Linked DNA regions of Schizosaccharomyces pombe. Each later gene encodes a partner of the first gene's protein in a complex. Each region holds a gene or a part of one and is shown on either strand. Other genes may lie near its edges.

Region 1 (3,366 bases):
TATGCTTATTTGAGAAAGCTGTTTCGTGATTTACTTATTCGTAAAGGATACCAGTATGACTATGTTTTTGACTGGATGATATTAAAATACGTAAGTTTTGAAAAGAAAATGATAAGGTGATACGTTAGTTTAACCTTAACAAATGATTGAAAATTCGATTGACTAACTATTATTAGCAAAAGCGAGCTGCTGCTGCTGCCGCCGCTTCTGCTACAGCACCTCCACAGGTTACATCTCCTATGGTGTCACAAACTCAACCGGTTAATCCCATTACTCCTAATTATTCATCCATTCCCTTACCTGCTGAGCGGAATCCAAAGACTCCACAATCTTTCTCCACTAATATTGTTCAATGTGCTTCTCCCTCACCTCTTCCTCTCTCCTTTCGTTCTCCTGTTCCCAACAAAGATTATGAATACATTCCATCTTCGTTGCAACCTCAATACAGTGCTCAACTGAGGCGTGTTTTAGATGAAGAACCAGCTCCTTGATTTTTTGACTTTACTTTTCATCAATTCCTCTCTTACACTACGTCTTTTAGTCTTAAATTCCAAACCATCTGTTGACGTTTTAAAGTTCCACAAATATCTTTAATAATTCCTGGCTTTCTTTTTTGTCTATGGATGGCCGGATTGCTACACTAATACACTTTGAGGTTTAGCTATTGTTTTGAGCTATTCCATTTTGCCTAGAAGTTGAGTTTTAATGCCTTCTTTTTAAATAGACATATTGTGTAAACCTCATACATGCTTTACTGAAAAGACATAATTAGAGGACAAAATTTAAATCGTGCTGTTTGTTTATATTCAGCTCGTTCCGGTCAAGTTCTTGCCAAAGAATTGAGTCAGTCGTGCTATTCATTTCTAAATTTCTTCTTCCCAGAATTTTATTTTATTGTTTTCGTTCCCCATTGGTTCTTACATTCCGTTTTTATTCAAAACTGAAAAGTTTGTACCTCCATTGCTAGAAGTAATATACACAAGGAGCATGTTTCTTTTTTTACACTATCATTTGCGTGGCTCTAAACCAGTCTTTATTGCCTACCTTTGCAATAAAAGATATAATATCAATTGCATAAGAAATAATTCATTAATAAATGATAAATTTCATCGATTAAATAGATCGCTATTTTTCACACTGTATTATGGGCAAGTAGCGTAAAAAATATTAGCTCTGTTGGAGTTGACCGCTGGATCATCAAGTTTTACATACTATTTAATTTCGGCTGTAGCAAAGAAAAATATCCATCGATTTGCCATATTATCATATCTATTGCTTTCTGTGGTATTTTAACCACCGGTATTTCACTTCTACAAATGTAAACAAAGCACGTTGATTTGTTTACATTACAGTTGCCCCAGTAACACATTATGGATCAGCACCACAAAGAAAAATCATTCAAAATTGATGCTCAAATTCAATATTCTACAGGCTCAAGAAGGGATCTATACTTATTTTTACTAAACCCATAACTATCATCTCTGTTTCGTCTGCGGTAAAAAAAAAATTGTTTAGATTAATGTAAAAACAGAGCAAAATGAGATTTGTCACTTAGTACAACAATGTGTTACCTCTACACGCAACTCCTGAGTTGCGTCGCATGTTATTTGATGAGCTGACTTTGCGCACAAAACCAATACATAACAAAGAGATCTTAGGATTTGGAAGTTGCGCTACACCAAATACTTTTCATATTCGGTAAAGGGAAAGATTTTAAAAAAAGCTTCAGAATGGGATCAAGGTATGTACTAAATCTGATCAATCAATGTCTAACTAATCATTAGATTCGGTAGAAGAAAAGAACGCAATGGCGATATGTTGCCCTTGTATGAGTCTCAATCTCCTCAGCATTTAGACTCCTTGGAAAATGAAAATGATGAACGGATTTCAAAGTTAACTGGAAAAGTCAAGTCTTTGAAAGAGGTAAGATTTTTGCCATCATCAGGAAAAACATGCTAACTAATTTTAATAGCTTACTATGAATATTGGGACTGAGATAACGTCTTCTACTAAGTTGATGGAGTCAATGAACGACTCATTTGACTCGACCAAGTCACTTTTGAGCGGGACAATGACTCGATTAAAGAATGTTTCGAAGAATGGAGGAATTTCAATTTGGATGTGGCTCGCCTTCTTTTGCCTCGTTGCGCTTATCCTCGTTTTGGTAAGATTTTAGGCATTTTGCTTACTACCTTTACTCTTTTTTAGAGTTAGCATTTTTATGATTCATTTTATGGCGTGTATAATCTGTTAAAATTGTATACTTGAAGTTTCTTCATTCTCTTTTCTTCTAACATTTTCATTCTGATTATTTTAAACTTATTATCGATAGAAAAAAAACATTCATCCACCTTTGGTGTTTCCACACAAGTGGTTTGTCACGATAGGAACGCAAATCCTCAATTTTTGTTTTCCTAACGACTTTGTTTTTAACTTATTACATCCTGTTATTATAAGTTTCTATCTGTTATTCATGATACTAGCCCTTCACTCGTCGTCTTACCATTTTTGTAAATTGACGCAACTATTACATTTGAGTTTTATTCAAGTTTATCGGCATGCAGGTCATGTCTTTTGCATTTTCTATTCCCAAGCTTGAAGTATGGAATGTTTAAGTATGTGATACGAATCTTACTACTTAAATTTATTTGCTTATTACATTATTTCTGCGTCTAGTGTTCTTTTACTTCAATACTTGAAATAAAATTTTTTTTTTTTCTTTAAGAGTACAATCATGCTTCTATTCCTTTTCCTTTGTATTTTAAATGCATGTTATTTCGAGTTTCGACATATTGGGTAGGTTGCTGTTTAATAGTGTATTATGGGCACAATAATATTTACGTAAACCATCAGCGCTGTACACCTACCTATAGAAAGTTGTTTTAAGAAGATATTCGCTTTTTATATGTCTAACAGTATTTAATAACTAGTTTTCTTAAGCGGAAGTTTCGAAATTCGATCAGTAACCGTGAGTTTGTGTACAAAATGCTAGTATTGAAGATAGTTTTATTTTTATCTTTGGTGATATGGTTTAATTTAAAAAAGAGGACGGATAAGAAAAGAATTATTGTTCTCGTCCTAGGAGATATTGCAAGAAGCCCTAGAATGCAATATCATGCCGTTAGCTTCGCTAAACTTGGATGGAAGGTTGATTTGTTAGGCTATCAGCGTAAGTTATCTAAAATATTTGAATATTTTAATCTATACCACATTAGGTGTATTTGTTGTCACTAACACTGTCGTAGACCCCGGGTCATCTGTAGGACTTTTCGAAAGTCATGAAAACATTCGTTTTTATCCCATTCCTTCACTTCCTGCGTATCTTCAACCTAAGAACCGCCTTCAGTTTTTGTTTTTGGGACCATT
Region 2 (3,758 bases), 870 kb from region 1:
TGACTTTTGAGAAGCCTCAATTGGGTAAGGTTGATTCCACGGTGATTAGTTAAGAAAACTGTGTAAACCAAAAGAGAATCATGCCTCTTTACCAATTGACTTGAATCTAACTTTTACTAATATTAATTTAGGCCAATTCGTCCTCACGCCTGAGCCATCTAGTAATACATTCTATGCCCCCTCTTCGCCTGCTTCTGCAGTGAGAAGAGAGCCACTTTCTCCAATGTCTTTTGTACGGATGCGTTCACATCGCGTTAATAAAATTGGCCGTTCTAGTCAACAATGTGACCATGTCCTATCCACGGTTGATAAAGCAATTTCTCGTGTACATGCTATTGTAACTTGTACACAAGACCGCATGATTATTGAGTGCGTGGGTTGGAATGGGATGATTGTGTCTGATAAAATGAGGAAGTCAGTATTCCACATGAAGAAAAATGATCGGATTGTCCTGGTAAGACCGAATTCGGATGCTTGTCCTGTACTGGATGTATTCGGTTACCGAGTTCTTCTTGGTTGGCCAAGTGATTCTGAAGATGAATGGGAAGGAAATCTTAATGCTAAAAATTATGAAGAAAATCGTGAACCTATGTCTCCTTCACCTCAAGAAGCTTTACCTTTGATGCCTTCATCACCTCCTTCTCAAGACTATCAAAACGATCAGAATCATCTCATATTGTACACTAATTCCGAATCCATTCCTAAGCTAAACTTGCGTAGTAACGAATTAGTATATCCTCCTCCATCCAAAGATTTGTTACAAAAGCTTCTTGCCTTAGAAAAAGATGGTCAGGTGGAAAAGTCTGATTGTTCCAAAAATACACAATTAAAACCATCTTTTCTCCCAAAGAACACCGACGATTTACTCAATGGCACTGATGATAATAACATCGTTTTAAGAGAAGTTAAGGTTTCTTTTGAGAACGAAAAAATCGAGAGTGATGATCTTGATAAAAATGAGGAAATTAGTGAAGGTGAAGAATACACTCCAATTGAAGAGTCAAAAGAGCCTATAACAGTAAGACGGGATAGCGTTATACAAATTGATGAATCGTCCGCTGGACTAACGGACGTTATCTCTGAACTTAATTTTACAAACCATAATGATGACTCAAAGAATTCTAATATTACAACTTCAAATGATTCCCCAGTGAACGAAGTTGAGCCAATGGCTCCTGAATTGAGTTCAGCAGTTGTGGAAAAGAAGGAACCTGAAGACTACGAAAGCATCTCTGCTGTTGATGAGAACACTAATGACAGTAATGAATCCCTCCCTTCTAGCCATGATTACTCAGAATCAACAAAAGAAAATTCAGCTCCCGATAGCTTATTATTAGGATTGGTTTTAGATGAATTGGTTTTCTCAACAACTTCAACTACTCCCCTTCCTGCACTTTCGCATTTATTTCCTTCCAATATGCCACTTCAATTAATTCAGGACAAGCTTCGAGACTTGGCAGCCAAGCACCCCTACTTTGAAGAGGTTAAACGTTACGGAACTGATGCTAATGGTGATCCATTGTGGAGTGAATGGTTTTATAACCCAGATGTGGATGATGATTTAGAACGGCGTATGAGATATGCTCCATTAATGAGACCAGTAAGATCCTCACGTCGTGTACATAAACAATATTATTGGAAAAAGCCCCGAGCTCGTCCACGTTCATCGGGACATTCTTCTAGGCGTCGTCGTCTTTCATAACGAATTGAATGCTGGCATCAGACACGACCCCTATAAAATTTCGCTTTTTGATATTGTATACATTTCGTTATTACGAATGGAATTATTAGATTTTTCAAATGGGGTTCAACAAAATACAATTGAACTCAATAGTGATTTACATTTAATATGAATTTTGGGTAAAAAAACGCATTCTTTTTTATAAAACTGTATTTACAATGTATAGAAATAAATTGCTACTTTAAGCTATTTACAATTTTGATATAGCATTCAAGTAACGTGTTACTTGCTACATGTGTTGTCATATCAAAGACAAGAAAATAAATTACCCTCATATTGGAACCAACTACGGCAAGAGAATGAGCAATACTCTTTATAATCACGTATGTAACTTCCTAAAGTTTTAGAAAACATATTAATTTGTATTTCGCTAGTGTACAAAGTTGTTTCAGTCCATTCAGCGAAGCCTCGATGAGTTAGAACGTGGTGTTCAAGATGAGAGCAACACTATATCGTTAGCTGGAATTCAGGGTATGTGTAGATGAATAATTATGGTACTTATTTTAACCAAGTTATTCATGAGACTAATGCAAATCAATTTAGGCCAGATCTCAGCTTCATTTCTGTCATTATCCAGATCCATTGATGACTACGATAGTATGGTCCAAAGGGAATTGGTTCCCGCTAAAAAAAAAAAAGCTACAATACGAATCCAAGAGTTCCGTCAAAAGCATGTTCAGTTGTTGGAAAAATTTGATGAGTTGAAGGCACACGTTCGTGACATTGCGCAAGCAAAAAATAGAAAAGAATTGTTAGGGAGGCGTGGGTATGTGAACTCTCTTGATAGTCCCTACGGAAATTCAACAACGGATGCAGAAATTGTGGAAGGGCCATCAGATCTAAGCAGACAAGATGGTTTATTAAAGGAGCATGATTTCCTTGGTCGTGCAGAATCTCAAGTTGACGAATTTCTAGAACGTGGGCGGATGATTCTTGGTGATTTAGTTGAGCAGGGAAGCGTTTTAAAAGCTACTAAGACAAAAGTACTGAATGCCGCCAATACCCTTGGCATTACTCGCCATACTCTATCTTTAATCAACCGTAGGTCCAAACAAGACAAGATTATATTTTATTGTGGAGCATTCCTTGTATTTGTCCTCTTTTACTTGATTTACAGGTGGTTACGCTAACATGTTCATGTCGTTGGCTTGTTTAAATTTACTATTCTTATATGATATGGGGCAGTACAACAAAATCAAAGATGATTAAAAAATTTGAAGAGCTTCTTGAGAGTTAAATTTTTTATTAATTATTTTTAAAAATAAGCTATACATTTTGCACTTGTTAGCTTCTCCTTGCAAGCTATTACTGTTGTGTTTTTTTCCTTCTGTTTATGACATTCCACTAATCACGCACTTATGGGCCTTTTAAATCTAATTCTTTCTTTGTGTTTTTTTAAATCCTTAGTTTGTCAATCAATTAATACCGTTGCGGTAATGCTTGACTAAAACACCTTCTCTTCAGGCGGTTGCTTTGAAATGCTTCAATTGTGATTCCATTTCATTTTATTTTAATATCCAAGAGAAAATTAACTTACCAATGGGCAATAGTTTTTTTTCCTTAGTTTCTTCGTAATTTGCTCAGTTAAGCTATGTATTAAAAATAATAAAATAGACTAAAACTAATTGTCATCACGAACCGTTAGTTGACGACTGTTTTACACTATTTTTATTGTCAACCGTTTTCAATGCAACTTAAGAATTTGTCGAAAGCCAATTGAAATTTGTATTCATATATATTAATTTTGTACCATATATATTGTAATAACTGTATTGGATGAAGTTAACTTTTACTAAAGAAACTCGAGACACGTTTGTTAAAATTAATATCGTTAGCGATTATCCTTTCGTATACCATAATACACCAAACTATCCTCCATTCTCATCTTTTTAAATATCTAGCGCCAATATTTAGTAATTCCTATAAGAATTATTTAATGTTTTTAAATAAGTATATATCAAACTATTCCAGAACCAGGGCTGTGAGCTGCGCTCCAGTTCTATCATACAAGAAATGT
Region 3 (3,758 bases), on another chromosome or scaffold:
TTTTTTATCGTTTCTGTTATTTGGCAGGGTAAGAATATATTCTTCCAATACATCCCTTTTGACTAAGCATTTAGTTAATTTGCTAATGTCCAATGCATCAATCTAAATTATATAGCTGAATGTTTAACAAACAAATTTGACTTTGAATTAATCGAGACTGATTGTGAACTTCTATAAACATTCGATCATACTAGATTTTTCAAGCTACAATTTTACCATAATCTATTTCATAGTAAATGGCCAGAAAATTTTTGGAAAACTAACGTACCCAAGATGAATTATAAGGAATTTTTATTTGGGCGTGCAAGGAATGGTCGAAAGAATAAGCATAAACATTATATTTACATGAGATTATAGACATGAACTTCACATGATCAAAGAAGAACGAGTTTCATTCCTTTGTCATTATTGTTACAATATAAAGTTTCAGAAGAATGAAGAGAATTAAACAATACGATCCAAGGATAGCAATAAAAGTCCCATAACGGTAAAGATGCAAAAAAGCAGACGAGCGGTCCGACTACTTCTAGATTTGGCCTTGATTAGTTGTTGATTACCCCCAGACAGCGAATCCATGACATTAAGGGCATCATCATAAAGTTTTTCAGCCGCACTTGATTGAATAGATAGTTGAGCGGATATTTCCGACTGAAGTCTAGTAATATCAGCCAAAGATTTCCCTGTATCACGTAAACGTTCCATAGTATGTTCAAATTCTTGGAGTAAAACATCGTTCTCTTGCTCAAGTTCTTGAAGTTGCTGTTGAGTAAAAAATGTTTGTAATTCAGATTCAGGGATCTCAACAGCTGAATTTTCATCAGTAGGATTTTTTGTTAAAAAGTCTGAAGCAATGTTTCGCTTTTCCTGACCTCGTTTTAATCTCAGATCTTGTAAATGATATAGAACAGAAGAAACATCGGAAAGTTCAGACTGCAGATACCACAGAACAGATGAATGGTGGGCGACTAAAGTTTCCTTTTTCGATAATTTACTAGGGTCTCTTAAACCTTGCAGCCAACCACTTTTTTTAGGGATTTGACTTTGTTGTTCTACTCATGCAATTAGCAAGCATGTCCCTGTGTTTTGTTTATAATTTAAGTAAACATAATTTTACCAGTATTAAAATTTTAAGCTTACCTTTCACAATCTCCTGCAACTTAGCTATTTGATGAATACAGCTACTGATTGCCGAAGAGACTTCATGTTCTATTTCATCCCTTTGAACCTCATCTAGCTCAAGCTTTGAAAGCTCCTCAAGTGAACACTCCATTAAAGGTTTTGAGAGTCTTTGGACATTTGAAAATGTTCTGTCCTTTAAATAAGCTCCACGAATCTTTTTCAAAAATACTAGAAGATTAACAATCGTTTCATGCTGCTAACGTTAGCAATTTGAACTCTCTGATTAGATATAGAAAGCAATAACAAAAGTTAATACTGTCAAAAATTTAAACCAATCCCACTCAATAATTAATCGTATATTATGGTAGCGCATCTCCACAGTGATCAATTGAGTTGAGGTTAAATTTCCGATTGGTTCAATAATTACAGAAAACTCGTCCTCAAACTTACAATTCTATATCCTTCAGCCAAAAAAGGATCCGTATAACTTATTCTTTTCAAAGGAATGTTTGCTGCATCAATGTCGCCATTTTTTGTTAATCCAAAAAACTCATTCGTACGACTCGTCATTCAGAATTTGAGATGCTAAGAAAGGAGAAATATAAATCCCGGGTTAAATGAATTTCAAATTAACAGAACAGATGTTTAGAAAATGGTAGCATTCCATATCCCCTTATGAATAGTGACACGGTAAACGGAATTGAGAGACTTAAAGGTGCTCGTAACAAATGTTCAAAAAAGCAAAAAAAAATACTCCATTGTACGAGTTTTGTTTATTTACTTCAAGTCGATGTCTACAATAAATGAAATTAAGCTAAAGTTTCGCAATTTTTGAAGTATTTAGAAATGAGCTATTTTCAAGTAAACAAACAAACGTAACCAGTTATACACCTCACAAGAATGGAGCGCAGTCAAATTGTTTACAATTTTTGAGTTATTTTTAAAAATTTAGCTTGAAAAAAGTTGTTTGTGTCCTTTATCTCGAAGAAATAAGGTTTTTGTTTTGCTGGTGTTGAGGTTGCTATATAATAACATGGTTTGGGCGACATAAATTCATCCTTTACCAACGCTCTTCGAAACGTTAAATTTGCATATTTATCAAGCATTTTATTGCAATAAGGCTAATATTATTAACTTTAATTGATTTTAACCTTCAGTATTTGCTTATTGTTATACAATATACAGTGATTACCCCTTTTTCTAAAAAGCTGTACTTTCGCATCACATCTGATACCTGCGTTCCTTTCAACTTTTTAATATAATCATCCAAACGATTTTAAAATCTGGTTGACATTACCGCGGAGCTTTAAGCTCTGCATTACGATATATTTTCTCTTTCACCAAAGATTGCTTTCTTCCTTACCATTTATTCCTTAATCAGCTTCGTTAGTATCTTTTTTACAACCAAATTACCAGTTTGGTATGTTAATTCATAATGGCATCTAAAATGCCTGAAGGGTCTCCCCCTACTAGTCGTTCTATTCAATCTCGAAATTCCAGTTACTCTACCTCTTCCAACGAACGTATTGGAACACCCTCTACGATTTCCCTATCTGAAAATTCAGATCTTTCTAAATTACAAAGTACTAATGATTTTGAGTCGCGAGAAGATCTCTCTCTTACTTCCGATGACAATAATGACCCCGAATATGTTATGTGCTACAACACTGTTTATCACCAAAAGACAAAAATAAATGATAAACTTTTATCCGAAACTGAGCAGTTACGTAAAATTTATCCTTTAGAATCCCGTGTATTTCCAAAACCTACCATTGTTAAAGAGATTACCAACGAGCGAACCAAGCGCTACACTTTTTATGACGATGATGCTCCTCTTACTAACCAACATACTGTTTTAGATGAAGCAACTTATAATCGAATTTTAAAAAGGATAGACTTTTTCATTGAAAAAGTCGTTGAAGTCCCACCTACTTACCATTTTTTATCGCTATTAAACGTTCAATTACGTATTCAACCAATTTGGTGGATGGATGAATTTGCTGAAAGAAATGGTATTGAAAGTTTACTGTCTGCTTTAAGAAACCTGGGTCACTATCCTGAACGTGCATCTAAAACACCTCTTGAATCCCAAATAATACAGTCATTATTTCACTGTTTGAACAGCGAAAACTGCCGTCGTCGTTATCAGTCTTCAGCTAAATGCTCTGTTCCAGGATTTAATGCTCTAGGTACTATTGCTGAGACTGTGCTTTCAAAAAGTTTAAATTCAGCTCGCATGGCTACTTTTCTCCTTAAATTCCTTTGTAATAAAAAGGGGTTGAGTTACTTCAAAGCTGTAATCAGGGCTTTCGAATGGCTCGTCGAGCAAAAGTTATCAAAAACTCGGTTTAGCGCATGGATGCATTCCTTTAATGATGTGATTACTGGTGTCCGAGTTTGTGCTGATTCATCTCCTCAAGCGATTGTTCACATGGACGAATTTGAAGATACGGACTGCTTGATTGATTACCTTGTTGCAACTTTAGCTCTCATTCGAGATTTATGTGCTGCTCCACCGGATTTGCAACTTAGGTGTGCTCTAAGGCATGAATTGTTATCTGCTGGTCTTCAAAAGGCCATCGACTCTTTGTTAAAATGGAGAAACAGACACGTCCGTGATGCTCTGCAATTACTAATCA

The links.
Region 2: bet1 (region 1) and bos1 share a complex: the UniProt entries of both Schizosaccharomyces pombe proteins name them as parts of the SNARE complex.
Region 3: bet1 (region 1) and ufe1 share a complex: the UniProt entries of both Schizosaccharomyces pombe proteins name them as parts of the SNARE complex.

Annotation. Positions count from the first base shown.
Region 1 is NC_003424.3:1,049,999-1,053,364, forward strand, and holds bet1 (SNARE protein Bet1), read left to right. Parts: upstream 1-1,670; 5' UTR 1,671-1,730; coding exon 1,731-1,741; exon of another isoform or gene 1,742-1,784; coding exon 1,785-1,923; exon of another isoform or gene 1,924-1,972; coding exon 1,973-2,176; 3' UTR 2,177-2,726; downstream 2,727-3,366. Other genes in the region: serine/threonine protein kinase (CK1 family) Hhp2, read left to right, coding at 1-90, 177-491; mannosyltransferase complex subunit Alg1, read left to right, coding at 2,986-3,169, 3,246-3,366. UniProt on the Schizosaccharomyces pombe protein: SNARE required for targeting and fusion of ER-derived transport vesicles with the Golgi complex.
Region 2 is NC_003424.3:1,923,062-1,926,819, forward strand, and holds bos1 (SNARE protein Bos1), read left to right. Parts: upstream 1-2,019; 5' UTR 2,020-2,040; coding exon 2,041-2,064; intron 2,065-2,105; exon of another isoform or gene 2,106-2,115; coding exon 2,116-2,212; exon of another isoform or gene 2,213-2,284; coding exon 2,285-2,871; 3' UTR 2,872-3,478; downstream 3,479-3,758. Other genes in the region: tos4 (transcription factor), read left to right, coding at 1-24, 132-1,702; metallopeptidase Oma1, read left to right, coding at 3,678-3,758. UniProt on the Schizosaccharomyces pombe protein: SNARE required for targeting and fusion of ER-derived transport vesicles with the Golgi complex.
Region 3 is NC_003421.2:1,000,576-1,004,333, forward strand, and holds ufe1 (SNARE protein Ufe1), read right to left. Parts: upstream 1,759-3,758; 5' UTR 1,690-1,758; coding exon 1,570-1,689; exon of another isoform or gene 1,542-1,569; intron 1,407-1,541; exon of another isoform or gene 1,373-1,406; coding exon 1,138-1,372; intron 1,050-1,137; coding exon 445-1,049; 3' UTR 137-444; downstream 1-136. Other genes in the region: formin For3, read left to right, coding at 2,555-3,758. UniProt on the Schizosaccharomyces pombe protein: Syntaxin required for targeting and fusion of Golgi-derived retrograde transport vesicles with the ER.